3 linked regions of the Drosophila melanogaster genome follow. The gene in region 1 interacts genetically with each later gene. Each region holds a gene or a part of one and is shown in the gene's direction. Other genes may lie near its edges.

What was found.
Region 2: of Tbh (region 1) and lola, changing one suppresses a phenotype caused by changing the other (phenotypic suppression), as found in Drosophila melanogaster (one study listed by BioGRID).
Region 3: of Tbh (region 1) and Bacc, changing one suppresses a phenotype caused by changing the other (phenotypic suppression), as found in Drosophila melanogaster (one study listed by BioGRID).

The regions. Positions count from the first base shown.
Region 1 is NC_004354.4:7,993,339-7,999,306, forward strand, and holds the start of Tbh (tyramine beta hydroxylase), read left to right. Parts: upstream 1-2,358; 5' UTR 2,359-2,455; intron 2,456-5,836; exon of another isoform or gene 5,837-5,932; 5' UTR 5,933-5,968. UniProt on the Drosophila melanogaster protein: Catalyzes the hydroxylation of tyramine into octopamine, a neurotransmitter involved in ovulation and locomotion. Functions in an amine-mediated Bacc-dependent signaling pathway that negatively regulates acute ethanol sensitivity.
Region 2 is NT_033778.4:10,539,782-10,544,958, reverse strand, and holds the start of lola (longitudinals lacking), read left to right. Parts: upstream 1-1,667; 5' UTR 1,668-2,054; intron 2,055-2,963; exon of another isoform or gene 2,964-3,118; intron 3,119-3,185; exon of another isoform or gene 3,186-3,614; intron 3,615-5,177. UniProt on the Drosophila melanogaster protein: Putative transcription factor required for axon growth and guidance in the central and peripheral nervous systems. Repels CNS axons away from the midline by promoting the expression of the midline repellent sli and its receptor robo.
Region 3 is NT_033779.5:2,750,509-2,758,930, forward strand, and holds Bacc (bacchus), read left to right. Parts: upstream 1-1,936; 5' UTR 1,937-2,332; intron 2,333-2,486; exon of another isoform or gene 2,487-2,560; intron 2,561-2,724; exon of another isoform or gene 2,725-2,863; 5' UTR 2,864-2,906; coding exon 2,907-3,152; intron 3,153-5,499; coding exon 5,500-5,662; intron 5,663-5,736; coding exon 5,737-5,786; 3' UTR 5,787-7,412; downstream 7,413-8,422. Other genes in the region: HemK2 (HemK methyltransferase 2), read right to left, coding at 8,042-8,422. UniProt on the Drosophila melanogaster protein: Negatively regulates tyramine beta-hydroxylase tbh and thus the conversion of tyramine (TA) to octopamine (OA).

The DNA.
Region 1 (5,968 bases):
GTGCACACTCGCAAAAACTATGCATCGCATAGCACACATTTTTGTGTAGTTTTGGCAACATTATGACTATTGAACCATTGAAGACTTTATTTGTTAATGATTATAGTTGTCAGATTTTATTCATTATTATTTATGATTTTGGCCTTGGGATAATCACCAACAAATCGAACTATCTTCGAAATGAATCTCTAAGACAAGCCGAGTATCTATTACGAGTATCTATTTGCAAGATACATTCATTTTGTTACGGATATTTCGTTAATCCATTTATTTATTTATTTCATAGTGCACACACATGGACCAACCCAATTTGAGGTATCGAAGGAATGTCGGGGCCTGTCACTCACCCAATTTGCCCGTTTCTCCGCCAGGTGACACAACATTCTCCGGACGGAATGCAGCCGGATCCGGGAGAGTGCGGCAGGTGCGGCGTGTTTGTTGCGTAAAGCCGCGGGATGTGATGCCAACCAGCCTGGATCCATCTCAATTACCTTGCACTCACACCATTTCACCAATCCAAGTGGCAGGAAGCAGTTCAAGTTTGAGCTGTTCGGCTTGAGGTCTCGCTTATGAAACTACTAACTTGGCCAGAACTTGCCATCGAATTTGGCCCGCATGTGCAGCCCTGTCTGGAAGTTCAAGTTTGAGTGGTTCGCCTTTGAAAGGGGACTTCGATTCGAGTTGCAAGTGGTTCAGAGCTTTTCGCTAAAAGTTGCAGCAATTACAAGATAGATGGGAAAACATACTGCAAATTATTAGTTAAGTGAGTTCTGCGTGTAAGGATAATGTATGAGTTAAAACCATGTTATCTCGTAGAAATAACTTTTGACTCGCTGATGATTTTAATGGATCTAGGAACTTCTTAATGCAATGTTAAAGTTAAGAACTATATACTCAGTTATTGTATTAAATCGTTAGCAGGTAAATACATACATATCTCACTGATTGTCATGCAGGCACAGGAATGCCAGAATATCGAATGTAATAAAGGCCTGGCGAAAAGCGACAGGAGCAAACACATCCATACTCGTTTGCCGAAGCTTCTGTCTGTCTTGTTGTATTTGCCATTAATCAGGCATATCCATTTACATGTGATGAACTTTATCCCTTAACCTGTTTACATGTAAATTACTTGCTGCTCATTTTATGCTTCACGAAGAACTGGCAAACAAACAGATGCGCCATGCACAGCCGTATAAAAAAAAACACACACACACAGAAGTACAGTACGACTTTTGGATCACTAACTATTTGCTCAATTAATATGTCTTGAGTTTTTTATTGAGCTCCTCGAGGATAACAAAATGTGATCTACGTCAGTAAATCATGACTGCTCTTTAAGATAACTAAATTTGTTAAGTTCTACACAGGCAATGCAACCTGTGCATGTGCTGCATTAATAATTGCGATTCGTACAATGAAAATGCCAGCGCTGCAATGCATTTTTCATATTTACCTTGGCCTGGCCGGCCCCAATGCGATGGCACACACTTACGGGTTAAATAATATCAAGCATATGCGAGTGCCATTACATCCTTGTAATTGCCAAAATAATGGGAATTATGCGTATGAGAAAGTCAACGCGGACACACTTCGCCATCCGCCGGACGGATAGTTAATTGAGCTGTTGGCTGTTCGCTGGCTTACAATTCAAATTGTTGCCCTTTGTTGTTGCCTTTTGCTGTTGTTGGCGTCATTAATGCGAGTGTTGGCACTATCGCACGCACCTCTCGCTCGCCCGCCGCCTGCTGTCTCTTTTCGGCGCCAAAGTTTGCTGGTAAACACATTCATAAAGTAAATATGCAAACAATCGCGCACAGCGCATGCTGAACGACTAGTAGAGACTTATAAATAAGGATGAGAAATTAAAAAAAAAAATCTAAAATTAGCTGAAAATTTCCTTGTAAAATATAAATATAAAAATATATATCTTTTTCTTTACCAATCTAAGAAGTGTATAAATGGAAAGGATTCAGCTGGAAGGAATATGCAATTATCACTGTTATTGTGAACTCTGCTGTGCGTGCACACGCACACACGTGTGCCAGTGATGCCCATGTCGATGGCGGCAGACATATGCTAAACGAGCCGAAGCCCCCGCCGCGCGCTTTCTATCGCTCACCCACTAACTTCCGTTTCCCTCTCGCCGCAGCCGAAGCCGAAGCCGAAGTCGAAGCCGAAGGGCGACGATTGCTCGGGTCGGTGGGCCACGTATAAAAGCCGCTGATGGCTGCGCTGTCGCCTGCATTCTGCGTTCGGTTGGCGTAGGACGCGCTTTCCACTTGTTCGTGCTATTCGTTACGCGATTTCTCTGACGAAAGCGTAGAAGCGCGCCAAAAAAAGCGCGCGCAAAAACAAAAAGCCAAGCTAACGGGACAAAAGTCGCGCGCGACTCGTAAGCTTGTTTACTTTGCCATTATAAATCCGGCGGGCGCTTGTTTGTGTTTGTGTTGATGTTGGTAATTCCCTGTGTTACCGCCCCCCCCCTCCTTTTTTTTTATTCAAGCGCTCCTGTGCGCTTTACGTTATTTTCCCCTTTTTTTTAGGTGTTTTTTTTTTGTGTCGTTGTTCAAACAGTGGCCAAGAAATAACAGGAACAAAAGCTAGTAAAACAAACGGGAATTTGCAAAACGGAAGAGTAAAGGAAAAGTGTTGCATTTCCGTCGCTTCGTCAAGTTGGTTTGGTGTTCTTGTCGTCCCTGTTACCGTTAGTCTCTCCATTACCGTTAGCATCTTGGCCCCGGCAAAATGGTAGCAGGTGTTATCCAGAAAAAATTAGCACAGGCCAAACTACCTAAGTGAAATTTGCATTAAAAATAGCTTCAAAATTGTCTTAGTATTCGTATAAGGAAAGTCATCACAAAAGTACTCTTTTATTTATTAAAATATGCTTAAATAAGAAAATAAGATATGCAGTTATATTTGGTAGGTAGTTGAGTTGCTGCCTGTCGATTGTAAGTAGTCATCGTAATAAATGTTCACTGTACGGAACTCCAACGTTAGCACAACTTCAACCAAATCACAAAAAACAGATCGGACAGAAAAAAAATGGGGGGTGGGGCAGGACACGAGAGCTAAAAACCACAAGCGAAATTGCCTGAGGGTAAAAATCCCCAAAATGGCATCATAAAATCATTTAATTGATGATTTAGCGCAGTTCGTGATATCAATATAAAATTCACCATTATCAGCCATGTTAGCACCGCTCCCAGTCAGCCAAGAAAAATGGAATGTTTTCCATTCCATGTTCTTTTTCACAAGCATATTTCAAACAACCGGACGGGGGAAAACACCTGCGTTAAACATTTATGTTTTTAGCACTTTCTGCTGTCAATTTGGCACTCTTCCACTTAACAATGCAAAGTGGGGAAGCTCGTAAAATGTCGGAAACTCCAGCGGAGCAACTGAAAATTAAAAGCACATCTGGAACTCTTTATACGGTGACACAATTTATTTCAAAATATATTTTCCGAAGGACACTAAGCTTTAGTAACCAAAATGGTTTAGTAACCTAAGTGAAAAGCTTATTTTATTGAAAGTGCAGCCAGTTGTGTGATTTTCACTAAACGAAGTCTGGCAACAAGTAATCTGATCAAAAAGTGTGATCGCTCAAAGCCCTAAAGTTTATAAATCGCCCAGAATGGTTGAGCTCTTCCATTTGATAAACCAATCAAAATGGAAATTGCATTCTTTGCTCGTATAACGCAATGAAAAAAGTGCTGCGAATATATACTCGTATAGAACTTTCGAAGTTTTGCTTAAAAAAAAAAAAAACAAAAAAATAGCATAGAATAGACTAGAATAGACGGCATTTAAGTACTTTGGCAAAGTATTTCGGCGTGTGGCGCGGTGCACAGCGAAAGCTGGCTAAAACTTTTGGCACAAAGCGTTTGAGATTTCATTTTAATTCGTTTTCAATTTGGTCTAGCCAACCGCAGGGCAGACTTAATGCCTCGAGGATTGCTTAACTCATGCCCGAGTTGACAGCAAATACGCAGATCCCCCGCAAGGCGATTAAATTTGGCACGGTTTAGGTTTAGGTTAAGGTTTTGGATTCTAGCTTTTGGGTTTTGGGCCTTGGTTACTCAGCTCCATGGGTATTCATTCATGGGCCAAAAGTTCATTCACGTCAGCCAATTTGGCGGATTCATCAGCCACAATACGTTTGACAATACAAATATGTACGATATGAAGCTAATTATATTCATTGGTGCTGCTGCTAGCGTGTCAGCGAATTTATTTCAGATCAACCTCAATAAATATTTGCTTGCCACTTTTGTGATACTATATTTCAGCTAGAAATAATTACTACGGCTTTTGCAAAACATGAATTTGTTTGTAGTATTGTATTTTAATTTAAATTGAGCAAATTAAATTGTCCGTGGCAATTTCAGGCAGCTCGCCTTGTTGTTTGAAATATGCAGGAAACAATTTCAGTGCAGAGAAAATATTTAATTTAAAATATTAAATACTGTGCATAAATCATTAAAGTGTTAAATTTACGTTCATGCCAGCCACACACACACACACATTTTAGACTGGGAAATTCATATTATTATCTCTTTCGGTATAAAAGCATAACATGATTTGCCCTGCCATCCAGGTGCTGATATCCTTTTACTTTTCTTTGAATTCTCCCTTGAGCAGAACCAGCTCGATTTTTATCGACATACGTACAAACATACGTTTAATTGGAAATTTTGAGGTAGCAGGGTGCACAGCACACAAGGCGTTAGAAATTCTTTGTGAAATTTAATCTTACGCAAATAGCAATCTGTTGAAATTGAAATCTGTTATCGGGGAATTCTCGGCAAATTGAATTTCCAAAGAAACGAATGATTCGTGGAGGTTTTTTGTGCGCCACCTTATTATTACTTATGACCCAAAAGTGCAAAGGTGCATTGGGTACACGTTTAATTGCTTTTTATTTGTGAATGCGTTCCTAAAATATCCATTATATAAGCCATGATGCGAAATTACTTGAAAAACATAAACCAGCTTGAATGGAATTCCTTGAGAGAAACTTGTAGATTTCGATATGCAAGTTCCCTAAACGATAAAGTTACACTTTGGCACTTTTACTTTCCCACCAAGAAGTTGGATGACTTGCGAAAGTAAACCGCAAACTGATTAATGCCATTTATGCCCAACGAATCTGGCTTTATGTACCAAGATTGTCAAGGCTGTCAAGGGGGCGTGGTGGGGTGGGGGGTGGAGGGAGGTAGGTAGGCGGAGAAAGCGCCTGAAGTGGGCGGTTGAAAGTGAGTTACACGTCGCCGTTGTGATGCTGGCACGTTGAAAACTTTTTCGGAATAAGTTGAAGGATGTGGCATGTCGTAAAACGAGGCGTGGCTGCAAAGTACGCGGCCACGAAAATTTCCAAAAAAAAATTTTTAATGCACACAGGCACGTGAAAATTGCCCAGCGGCCATTAGAACATCACCACCATCATCATTATTACCGCACATAATTTACCCATCAAACGCCACCCATTACCCATTCCAAACCGATGTTTCCACACAAAACCATCGCGTCGATGTCGCCAGATAAATTTGCCATGTAAATACAATACAATGAACGTGTAAACATTTATTATGTGCTTATAAATTTTGTCGTTGTTGTCCATGCTCAAATCTGTCAATTGTCTGATTTAAATTGTACACGGATTTGTTTTATTATACCCGCTGCTTGAAAATGAACTGGGGTATGATGACTTTCGGCCATTTTGCAATTTAATAAAGTTTATTTGAACTAAGCTGTGGCCATAGATATCATAGATAGCATACAACTTAATATAACCTTGGAATTAGTTATAATCTATGTAGTATTCCCAGAAAGTTTATGAAAAGAGGGTATCAAGTAGTCTTGTTTATGCAAACACATCATCGATGGACTTCGCCTATCAATAATTGTGCAATATCAACATTTGCAGCAGCAGCCATAGCGAATTAATTTCAAAGTGTTTGGC
Region 2 (5,177 bases), on another chromosome or scaffold:
TTCTTCGTCATTCAAGAGCCAACAACAACAACACAAAAACATTAAAAAATAAACAAAAAGCGTTGAACAAAATTTCCAACTTTTATTGTTAATTTCTTTGAGCGCAGCTTTTTTAAGCTGCTGCGCGGGCGTCGACGCCGACAGCGCTACACTGCAAGAAAATATTAGTAATAGATCGGTCAAAACACTTTTCCAAATCTTACGTTTGCTCTCAAGGCATTGTAATGTGCCAATTGAGTTAGAAATCAGTTAGAAATTATATGCATATTAGCAAAAATGTAGTTTCATAAATGAATTTAAATTCTACATTCCAGTAAAAATATGCTTACTGACTTTAGTTAATCATAACACATATGTATTTCTCACCGTGTAACAGCATTATTGTTGTTCTTGTTTTTCGTGTAATTATGATCTTGTGCTGACTTTTTTATATGTACATGCATGTGTACATATATTTGCTCAAATCAAGTAATCAGTTATATTTAAGCATCAAAATCAAGTTTTGGCAATTGCTAATGCAAGGCGGTGGTAAAAAACGACCAAAGATTTATACGAATGTGTGCCGTGAACATTGACGATTTTATTAGAAAGTAGCAATTGGCAAAACAAACAGATATGCAAAATGGCAAAATGCAAAAAAAAAGAGTGGATCCATAAATTGAAAGTTTAATCTTTTCTTGACACCTTTCTACTTCCCCAGTCGGGAATTTTAATTGCCTCGCAAAAAATAATGACAGGTGTCTGGTGAATTATCTTCTTCAGCGCTAATAGCATTTATTTTATTTGTAGTAAAATTACCTAAATTAGCTTTTTATGTACATTTACAAATTTTAAGTTCTGCATCTGCATGGTGAGATCATTTCAGTTGCCGTGTAAGCTTCTTAAAAAAAACTGTGTATATATGAATGTATATATTCTTTCATATATGTATATGTATATAAATTTATAATCACATAAATATTTATGTACTTATGTAAATATTACATAAATGTATGTACATAAGTATGTTCCTCACTGCTTTGTAATCTCTAAAAATTGTAGAACCTACATTGTAAATTATGTATGACCTTGACATTTCATAATTTTTTAGAAACATTTCCACTTGGTTTATAAGAATTCGTTAAAAATTATGTTATGTATGTACATACACACATTTCTATGTACATATGTACATAGTACATCATGTGGCTTAAATCTCGTATTATGCCATGCTCTCATTATGCTTATTATAACTCTTATACATACAAAAAGTATTATAAAAGTGTTTCCCACAAATTCCACGTTTTATTTGACGATCTAAATACATAGCTTTTTACATAGAACTCCATGTGCCATATTTCCTTATGTGCTAAGCAAAAAAAAAACACATTTTCTTTGCCTTTTCATTTAGCGCGACTTCCTTTTGCCACAACCCCTTCTTCTTCTTTCTTTTCTTCCCCTCAATTCCCGCGCAAAACGCTTTTTTCCAACGAGACAGTTGCAAAAAGCAATCAACTGTATCGTGGAGTGTCCCCATCTCGCTCGCACTCACTTGTTCTAGCGCACGAACGATCTTCGGTTTTTCGAATGCAGCAGAAAGAACAACAAAAGCAAAAACTTCGTGCTCACACACACACGCAAAGCCTATTTCTTTTTTCGACTTTTATTCGAACTTTTTTGCAGCGATTTTTCAGTAACAAACGGCAACTCTCAGGAATAAAATCGTCGTCGCTCCGCTCGTTAAATTCTCGTTGCTTTTCCACCCACATAAAAAATCAGGATAAATTGTTAGTAGTCTAAAAAACAGTGCGGATTGCATAAATTCAAGCGGAGCACCGATTGGAAAAACACCCACGGAAAAAACTATGTGATGTTAAATACGTTTTTGTGTCGAGTGCATAATTTGTTGTAATTAAAGTTCAACTGCAAATGCAAAAAGACGAAATATATAATAATTTATAGGTGTTTGTGAGTGTTTGCGCCCCCTCTCCTGTGCAACGTGTGGGAAAGAGAGAGAGGGAGTGAGAAAGAGGGAACGTGACCGAGTTGCCATGAAAACTCCAATGGAAATTCAGGTGAGCGATTGTCAATCGACGTGATGTTATGCGGGGACCATCATCTCTATACGTTCACCTTTCATATGCACACTGTAGCCGTCGAAAAGATCTGTAGAATTTATGATTTTGCCACAGAAACGACACTCCTCGCATCAATTAGTATTGGTTAGAACATTTGGCATGCGTGTAGAATTTCGCACAGAAATGTTAATTTTCCAGCTGAAAACCCGATGAAACCGTTAAAAATTAAGGTACATATTTAGGTACACATAATTTGTACACCGAAATTAGAGAGAAAACGCGCGGCGATGAAGTCATGCTGGAAGCCAAAAATAAATCAACGCCGATCATAAAAACGTTTGGAGAGTGCACAAAATATAATTTGCGCTTTTTAGTGGGAAATGCATTGCACACACAAGCCGAGACCATCTTTCATCTCCCTCGCACACCCTTAAACAACTGCAACGAGAGATGGAGAGAGGTGTCGGAGTGGGGGAGAGAGAGAGCTTGCTCGGCAACGGTAATTTTACCATTTCGAACATTATGGCTTCGCTTTGCTGCGAAAAAAACAAGCAAAGCTAAAGCAACAACAAAATCTCGCCCCATGGTGGAAAACAAAAACAATACCAATGCGAATGATATTTTCGAACTCCGCCAAATATGTGCAAGCAGAGTTGTCAGCCTCGTTCGTTGTCACTTACAGTATATGAGGTTCTATTGAACAACTTTATTAATTAGTACGTACGACTCACATCTCACTGTCTATGCCAAATACTATTTACCACGTAGAGACCCTAAACAATTTTTGTGATATTCATATTCAATACTTTCTCCAATTATATTTAACATTGTCTTGAGATTAGCAAAAACGTTATCGTGTTTTTATAGACAGGCTTTTCAAGTAGTGTAGTTAGTAAATTTGACGTCCGTTGGAAACGTATTTCCTTCTTCCTTGATGTGGAACTTAAATTAGGTGGCAACCAGATAATGAAAAGCGTGTCCTCCTTCTGCATCATCCTAATTTGTCGATCTTTTGTCGTGAATTGGCAACTCTGTGCGCCAAGCATACAAAAAGCACACGTCTGAAGAGGGGTGGCAAACAGGCGACGTCAACTTATTTTTCGAACTCACACTCTCATTCGCACTCACACTCTTCGGGTTTCGCTTCGGCTTCGTTTCCAACTCTCTCGGCGCTCTTCGGGGTCTCTGCTTATGGGAACCTTTCGTTTTTTCGAGCACCAGCGGAAAGTCGCGTCAGTCGTCAGTTTTTCTTCAGTGGCTTCGCGCGTCCGCAATTTTCAGTGTGTGGTGCGTTGTTGCTGCTGCCTACTCTTTTCTTTCTGCTCTCCACGGCAGCGGGAAAGGAAAATACATACACATGCATACAGGGCCCCATCACATACAGTAAAAATAAATTCAACTTTATTGCTTTTCCCCCCGTCGCGTTATCGTGTGTGTGTGTATTAGTATTATATATATTTTACTATATATATACATATATGGATTGGAAAAGCAACACCAAAATTTGATATGTGCAAAGTTTATTGACGACTACGTGCTGCCTGTGATTCTATTTCGGTGTGTATATAAAATTGATCAATAATGTTTTAAAGTACCGCTTAATAATATACAATAAGAACTTGCATTTGAACTGTACCTGGCAATTATCTGCCTGAGATTGTGTGTGTTTTTGCATATCGAATCGATACTTCCAGTGGTGTTTCTATCGATTTTTCCCTATGCTCACTTCACGGGAGAAAGCTTTTCACCAATGTACGAAAAGAGACAGGCACAGACAGAGCAGGAGAGGGAGAGCTTTCCCACAAAATGCAACGCTGAAGTAAATGACGGGCGGTTTTCATTAATTTTCACACACGCACACACTGCCAGTGGCTCACTTTCCATGCAAATGAGGTCAAGTGTTGCAGTGGGAAATGTTTTCTACAAGTACACGTGTATGTGTGCGCGAGTAGGAAAGTTATATAAGCTTTTCATTACCGATTGCGACGAGGGAAAGCTTGATAAAAAAAACTATGATTAGTAAACACGAAGATTGCCAAGAGCGAGTTCAATTAATTGCTTTCTATTATAAACTCCTACAAAAAAGCACGTTTTTCATTTCGATAGATTCCCAAAGTCTTGGTGGCCGCCATCTTGGTTTTTCCCCCACACATAAAATATTTTGTTCAATGCTAGGCTCTCTCGCTCTTTTGGCTCCCCTTTTCTTTCTCTCCCGCTCATTTTGTCATACTCCCTCGTCAGTTTTTATGTTTGTTCACGAAAAACAAAAACAACAAGCGTGAAATTTTCTCTCTGCACTTTTCACACACACTTAGAAAAGTGGGAGAACCAGACGGCTCAGCATGAGGCAAGGAGGATGATGAGGAAGGGAGAGAGAGAACAGTCGCCACATATTTTTGTTTCCACTTTGTGCTACACTTCTGCTACGCCGCTTTTGTTGTTTTCTTTTCGACACGTTTACACATTTCCATTTTTCATATTTTCGTGTCGCCTAATCTTTTTTATGGGACTGCGCGACGTTGCTAAATTTCACTTGTGACTTTTGCAAAAGTTTCATTTGTTTACATTCTACGCACATGTGCAGAATAATAACAATAATAAATGAGATATAAAAAAGCTTTTGCGCAACAAGTGTAGAAAAGCAAAAACTGTATTTTTCTCTTTGGTTTCTTGCCTTAATTCTTTGTTTACAATTTAAACTTGTACACTTCTTTCAAGTCATCAACTTTTTTTCCTTTTAAAACACCATGACCTTGCATCGAATTTCTGACCTACACACGCACGTGCAAAAAAAGTTTAATATGTGTCGCACTTTTCTATTATCCACTATTCTTAATGTTCTTGTCTTACAGTAAACAGCAAAAATATAGAAAAAATAAAACGAAGGCGGGGAAAAATAATGAGCGGCCGTTATCGCAACCTGCTCTTTGGCCGACTTTTATTTTTGTTAGTTTTGATTTACTTATTCGCTTTGTGGCCATTAGCAAAAAAGTTCATTGAACTTTTCTGCGTTTTATTTTACGGTTTATTGTTGATTATTTTCGGTGGCTCACTTTTTTCACTTTCACTTGAACTGGCCAGTGTATTTAACAAGTTTTTGTGTGGCTATATCCAAATTAT
Region 3 (8,422 bases), on another chromosome or scaffold:
GCCTAACAACCCGATTAGAAGAAATCTATTAAGCACCGCATTAAGCTGAAAGAGCGAAAAACTTAATCGCCGTGAATACAAGCTGATGTGTGTGTTTTAGATACACATGCTAGCTGAAGCGTCTGGCTATCGATTGTGTTTGCATTGAGATTTGTTCGCACCTTTATGCTACAGCAAATTAATGACGCAACAACGTGTAAGTGCACTGGGAGAAATTCCTGAGGCAGGTCAGTAACGACAACGGTCGGGGAAAAATCCCTTGCGTTAGTTTCGTGTTCGAAAGGGCCATAAAATTTCCGAATCGACAGATGTTTGGGTTCCGGGAAGCAGGACCATCCATCCATTTCTGCCTGCTTGAGATCCTACCTACCCGGTGGTTGCCTGCATTTGAAACCGTTGTCTAACCTTGAAGTAACTACGGTCGTACCAACCAAGCCGATAACTCGAGAAATTGGCACAGGTTGTCCTCAGGAATCTAGATACCATTGTTCAACACCGAGAGGTGGTCTCACAAGCCCGATGAGCACGACTATTCGTATCGCGAGAGACCCACCAATCTTGGGCCGACGAGCGTCAAGCCACTCGAACGGATACTGAGAGTTCGGCGGACGGAAAGTGAGACAGTGACAGCCAGAGAAGAACGGTAGGCGGCCCATGGAAGCACAGCGAAATGGAGACGCAAATCGGCTTATCAGGCAGCGATGTTCAGGCAAAAAGTCATCGCTGCTCCTCAAATATGTGATAACTGAGTGGACGACGGGCCACGATTACAGGTGTTTACGTTCACCATGCCGCCTCGGTTGGGATGCCGCGGAACATGTTCGCCGGTTTTAATTAGCGATCCGCCTGTCGACAGTCGTCCGCTCGCTCTGTCGTCGACCGTATTATTCAGATTACCAGATATATAGCCTAGGTATTCGTATTTGCCATTGCTTTCGCACGAAAATAGCTGAAAGCGTGAGAGGCTGTCCAATCGAAACTCGACTGTTGGATACCCGGCAAACGATAGTTATTACCCTTTCGTCGATAGGCTACTGGAAATAGCACCAAGAACCTTATGTCTTCCGGTCGAATTCCTCTAGTATTACTTTATGGGTTGTTATTCCGCTCGTTAATGTGCACATTTTGAATGAACTTGAAGATCAACCTCGCAGTGATTGTCCCACTGATAACACAGATTTATAGAGAAGAGCCAGTACAACTCGAGCACGTTGACTACCAGGTGATATGGGCGATATGTTATAGCCTACTCGGCAGTTCCAGTTTCCCATATATTGGGCGATTCCTGAACCCACTGGGTTCGTGCGGCGAACGAAGCCATCACCATCAAATGGTCGAACCACAAGTGCGGGATCAACAGAAAGATTGGCACATGAAAAAAGAGTCAAGGGTGGACCCAATTCGACGAGTGATAGGCATTGGCATTTAAGTCGAAGTCTTTGGTGGGGCCATTAGGACTTAAGGATGTTTAATATTTCTGGAAATTGCCGATTTCGAAAACTAACCCTTAAATGTTTTCGAATCTTATGGGGTTGCAAATTGCTGTTTTCTTGCTATTTCTCCAGTTCTCTAATTCTAGTTTTAAGACGCATAATCCCGGAATAGAGCATTTCCCCGATTGCGTGCATCTAAATAGTTAGAATCTCAAAAATAGCTGCCCGCTTTCCTGGTCCGCGAAAATCACCTGCTTCCCCACACGTTACCAATCAATTGACCCCAATCCGCGACGACATTGCGTCCCACGCTGGTCCACTCTATAAATACGAATACCGTGCTGAATACAACACACAGCACACACATCTGCATCTGCGGCAACAATGCTGCAACACTTCTTCCCATCGGCAACATCCACATCCACTGTTCTGCTCTGTTCTGTTCTGTTCCACCGACGAACGGTCAGAACGCCACAGAGTGACTGCACCACACACACCACACACCACCATCGCCGCTACCAACCCCCAGACCCCGCCCCCAGGCCCACAAGCGCACCACTGGCGCGCGCAATTTTCAAATTTACCGCCAAACGCGCCCACAACCGTACTCACGGAACCCAAGCAGATTTTGTATGGAATTAATCAGGAAACCCACTCAACTTGTCATTTGCGGATCTAGTTTTGATCGCAGCGCCTCGGGAAAAAGCCCAAAATTAAGCGGATACTACCAGCTATAGCCTCGATCAGTCTCTGAACCGATCCGAACAAAGGTATTCAAGTTATAGGCAAAAATGTCTGCAACCGATTTGGCGCAAGAAGAAGCAAGCGGCAATTTCTAGCCATCGAACGGACGGCAAGCTCAGTCTTGTACGAACCGTCGACGGGAGCACATATCGGTGGTTAGCAAACCAAAGGAAAACGGATATTCCATACATCAGTGGGGCCTACGAGTAAATCCTTTTGCCTGCCGTAGCGCCGCCTGATATATGGCACCTCCTAAAGCCTTACTATATAGATACTATATTATCAGAAAATCACCGCAAAATAATATACCAAAAATCCAACGATCGCTCTGCTCTGGGCTGTTGTTGTTGTCTTATCGACTGCGGCTGTACAAATGCCGCGGCGATTTTTTGAGTGTATTGTATGGGCCAATGGCGTGGGAGAGAGAGAGCGAGTGAGCGTCGTAACGATTTCGGGGAGAGCGAAAAAGAGAGCAGCGAGAGCGTTTAAAGAAAGTTACTCTCTCCTCGAGAGGCAGTGCTTAAATAGACGGCCCGCAGCTGAATCGCATTCAGTGTGTTTGTGTGCTTCGTTCGGTGCGGTTCTCTCTGTCTCTCTCTCGCCTTCCCCGAGTATTTTGCGCTGGTTTTTTGTCAACAACAAGACAATCCACAAAACCAACCCGAATTGTTCTCTATATAACGCAGAAACTAAATAGTTCCGGAAAACCTCAAAGAAACCAATTCAAATATGTCGGCTGCTACGGAACAACAGAACAACGGCGATGTGGCCGTGGAGAAGGTGGCGGCAGATGATGTGTCTGCTGTCAAGGACGATCTCAAGGCGAAGGCGGCCGCCGAGGATAAGGCCGCTGCTGCCGATGCCGCCGGCGACGCGGCCGACAACGGTACGTCAAAGGACGGCGAGGATGCCGCCGATGCCGCCGCCGCTGCCCCCGCAAAGGAATCCGTGAAAGGCACCAAGAGGCCAGCAGAAGTGAGTACTGATCTATGTGACTAGGTAGTTGTTTACGCGGTAAAACCAAAAGGAGGCCCCTCTAATGATTCACTCCAAGCCAATATGCCAGTAGCATAGCATTGTTCGAGGAAAAATTCTAGAAATAGATATACACACGTTTTTCGGAACAGCGCACTCTCCCAATGGCTTACATATGCCCCCAAAAGAGAGAGCGTATAGCTGGCTCGGTTGTGCGTTTGTGTTGTTTACGATTAACCAAGATGATTGCGGGTCCGGCAATCAAAGATTATTGTTGTTAGGTTCAAATCGAGGTTAGGAGGGCCGCCGTGCTTATATAGGCGGGGAGTACAGTTAGCCAGGGCCTTTTCTTTGGTGGGGTGGGTAATGTGTTTTTAATAAACCCATAGGTCATTAGCATTGACGTGTCCGCTGAACAGCGTTACCCAGCAATAGATACATTGTGGCATTACGTCTATAACTCATACGCTTGGCCTTATTTATCAGTCGCTGTGGCTACGGGAATTGCAAATGCAAACGCAAACGCAATTCAGCGCGATGCCAATGCACTCTCTCAATGAAAACACACATTGCCGGCCGGTAAATTACTCATGTCATGTTTGGCCACTTTATTTTTGGTTAGTATCGCCAAGAGCACGCGGTATTCGAACAAGTTTTGGGGGCCTGAAGCAGTCGCATTCCATAATCGAGTAGCACATTTCTTGATAAAAATAAAATAGTTCGGCCAGTAAGGCAGATAAATTGGCAAATCAAGCGCTTTTCTCAGACTCAAACTCGAAATAAAAATGTACAGTTTAACGGGAGCGTTCTCTCGCTCTCTCTCTCTCTCCCCGGAGAAAGATAGATACAAATAGAGAGCGCTGCTAACTCTCTCCCTCGTAATTTGTATACACACCGTTTTGTCTGTTTGCGTATGTGCTTACATTTATCTTTCACTTTTTTTTCTGCTCTGCCTTATGCGTATTTATTTTAGTACATAAAACAAGACGGCTAAACAGGGTGTCGCAAAAGTTAGTTGGGTTTCTTCGGGATTCAATTGAATAATGATCATTATCCCATGATCATGAATTAGTTGAGATACGTTTGGCACGGATAATTCTTAGTGGTACAGTAACGAATTGTATAGATTTCAAGAATAGTTTTGAAAATTATTCGTTGGTTTCCATATCTTTCGATTCCAAACAACAGATTAGCTTTTGTCCCTATAAATGTATCTTCACGCTTAGAAAACACAAACTAAAACCTCTAACTAAATCAAGATACATTGATTACCCAGTTATAACACCAGTAATAGTAGGCTTAGTTCTTGCCAATACAGATACACCCTGTTCGTCTTAATCCTCTATTGGCCTTTTCTCGAGTTCTGGGTCTCGTGACTTATGCTGTAAGCGAAGTGAAAAAGGGGGGCGATGGGTGGCCATTAATTTTGCACATTTTTCCACAGTCCGATTGTTTTTCGCTTCTTCCGCTTTGTAACAGTCTGGTAAATAGGGCCCTTGTGTTGCGGCTTCTCTTCGACTTGGGAACGTGACCGCCTATATACTGCCATAAACCATATACCATTATGTGTATCTTGTTGTTGGTTGGTCAGCGGCAAAAGTTAAACCCACGCATGTTGTTGTTTTGCGCCTTTTTCGCTGCCGACGTCGCTGCAGCAGCTGTCGTTCGGATGGCTGTGAGTGAGAGCGAGAGATTCATTCATGCAGTTCAGGTACAGTTTACAGTGCTGCGGATTCAGATGCTCTCTCTCTGGCGCTCTCGCCCGCTCTCTATCTTACAGGGCACGCTTCGTTTCGTATCTCACGGATGCGGATACATATGTCGCTGCCGGCGTCGCTGCTTATTGTTTTTTTTTCCTTCCCCCTTATGTAGTAAATATGTCGCCTTGTACATACGGAGCACAGATGTAATGTAGCGCGGTTGCACTTGTAATCCACTCTCTCACGTACTCTCTCTCCCGCTGTCTCTTTTTGCCGCAGCGAATTACATTGGCGCGCGCATTTTTCAAATGTTTTTTTACGGCGAAAATAACGATTTTCGTCGCTGCTTGTTTTGTGTGCTGAAAATATACATTTTATGACTATGTACACACGCACAGGAAGTTGAGAGGGGTATTGGATGCCCTTGATCAAGGAGATGTGTGGGTTTGAGTTGGGCGCGTAGGACCATTTCGCTCCGTAATTCTCCCTAATATCCTTTAGTTTGTTTCTCAGATTAATATCAAAAATGCATAATTAATAGTGACGGGCCCCTTATTTCTGTTCAATAAACTTGCTTGTAATACAGTAAATCATCAGCGGAACAAAAACCAAAGGAACTCTACTAACTTCTCTTTTTTCGCTTCCAGGCCAAATCCGCAGAATCAAAGAAGGCCAAGAAGGCCGCGGCCGCCGATGGAGATTCCGATGAGGAAGAGGCTCTGGAGGAAATCATCGAGGGCGACAGTGAAATCGAGAGCGACGAGTACGACATCCCCTACGATGGTGAGGAGGATGACATTGAATGTGATGGTGAGTTCACGGAAGCACTTCCCTTTTCCACATCAATCTAATCCCCGGATTTTCCCTTTCCCTTACCCGCGCAGATGATGATGATGATAATGATGACGGTTCCGGCTCGGACGATCAGGCGTAATAATAATGTAGTCAAAAATACAAACAAAAACAAACAAAAATTTAAATTAATAATAAATAAAAGTTACAAGCAAAAACAAAACAAAAAAAATATAATAATAAACCAACAAGCAGAAAATAAACCACAACAAGGAGAAAATGAGGAGGAGGAGGAGAAAAAAACCACAAAAAAATCGCAAAAGTATATAATTTTTATGTTTAAGAAATAATTTTTTATTTCTTACCTTATTTTAATTGTATTTTATGTGTACTTTTTTTATAAAAAACTACAAAACAAACAAAAATTGTAATTGAAGGCATTTTCGTATAAACGCAACCTATACGGAATCCAACAAAAAGTAAACATCCCCACTATATACAAGAACAAAACAAAACCAAAATCTTTCTTTCCTTTATCTCATAAGTCCTAATTTAAACGCCCAGTTGATGCGTAAACCAAGATATACAAAGATTTCAAATGTAGCGTAAACGAAGCCCGCGAATTAAACACAGATACACTACACTCACACACACACACGATATTCAAATTCATTATTAAATTAGACGTTACATTTGTGAATGAATGATCGATCGAAAGAAGCAAAAATACAAAAGTGAACATTTGAAAATGAACATGATTATGAACATGAAAAAGAAACAGCAAATGCAATTAAATACAAAACAAATAAAACATAAAAATTGTATTTAAATAAATCGCAAAAATCATTGAAACCCCATACTCGACAAGCATTCAATGACACTCAAGTTTTAGCTATGGTTTCAAAAATTTCGCGCCCATTGTGGCCACAGTCACCCGAATTTCCCAAACCCAAGGCACTGGGACTTAGTTGGTCTTCGCTTTTGGGGCAAATACAAAAAAAAAAAACAAAAAAAAATGAAAGGAAAACATCGGGAAGTTTGAGTTCTAACCTTCTGTTTCGTTTCAGCATTTAACTATAAACTATGACTAATCTTAAGTACTTATGTCAGTATTAAAGCGAGGGCTTTATTATTCTGTTGATAAGTTGTGCGAGCGAGTCGTTGATAAGCCTAATTCATTTGTAAATTGTAAAAACCAACTCGAGAATCGAAAAACGAGCAAGAAAATAAACTTTTAATGTTACATGTATCTAATTAGTAAGGGCATCCAAACTATTTATACACACACCCCGTACGACGAGTTCTCAATATAAACATATAACGACTGATATTTCAAAACGAATCGTGCCCAGCTGGTCAATCACGGCACTCGACACCGAAACCACCCAACCACCACCATCCTCGAATCTAAACGATTTGTCCCGGAAAGACAGACCAGCCCAACATACACACACAATCCACCCACTGACCCAGATCCAAACTCCAAGAGGCTTAAAGCTGGTAATGCCAACCAGCAACTGAATAATTGAGTGCAATTAAACCAATATGCCCAAGATAAATCATCCGATTTGATAACTGATAAACAATAGCGATATCACAGACAATGTTAAAGAACTATGCATTTTTGTAAATACCAATTACTCATGTATCTGCTCCGTGCGAGAATAACATCTAGTAGCGCGAAAGGGCAAAAAGAGAAAAGAACCACGAATCGAAAACGAGAATAAGAAACAATTTTGAACGATGAAATAAATTATTGTAATTACGTAAAAGCGAAAACCGTACGTACATACCACCCATTTGGCATCTGTTCCGATGCCAATAAAAGTTTGTTTCAATTGCAGTTGGCCATTTTGGGTGGGGCAATCACCTCGCTTCGGTGTTCCCAGGGGTAGTAGTTCTTAGCCAGGAGCATGTACGTATGTAGGTACATAATTCATAGATTGGCCGCCCCTACATTACTCCGATCCATCCCTTCCATATCCCAGTTTTCGTTCGGGGGTTGACGAGCTGGTTCCCACAATCCTCCCTATGAAAGAAATCATATACTAAGGGATGATGGAAAAATTCAATCGGAAATTTCCTTTGATTAAGTACCTTTTTCGGATTGAAAATCGATTAGCCTTAGCAGATGCCTATTAAAAAAACGAATGATGAAATTCCGGGCTCTTCGTTGGGCAAATGAAGTTGAGCTACTTTTATATTCAAATTCAAATATAAGCGCAAAAATTTCTAAAAGTTTAAGAGCTTTTAAGTTTCATAAGCCATTTCTTTCATTTATTTCAACTTTTATTAAAATTATTCTCCATATTATTTAGTATCAAATTTAAGAATAAACGCCTAAAAAAGTTTATCTTTTAATTAAAATACAACTTTAATTTGATGCTATTGCACGAGTCATGATGATGCCAAGTACCTGGTGACCTTCAGTATGCACAAATGCTCGCCAGGAATGCGTCGCTCCATGAACTTAACAGCCCGGAACTGGAGGCCCTCTAAGTATTTGATAATCTCCTCCGGCTTGTTCTCCCGCAGCAGGAGTAGGTAGAGCACGCCTCGAGGCGAAAGAATGTCATCCAATTGCTTGAGTAGAATGTCCGTGACGCGTCGCCCGTCCTGTCCACCAGCCCAGGAGAAAACCAGATTGCGATCCGTTGAGGATTCGCTGTGCGAATCGAACTGTTGCGTCTGCAGCTCCTCGTCACTGGTGACTACATAGGGCGGATTGAAGAGCAGCACGTCCACGGATCGCGGACGCAGTGCATCCGCTAGGCTGCA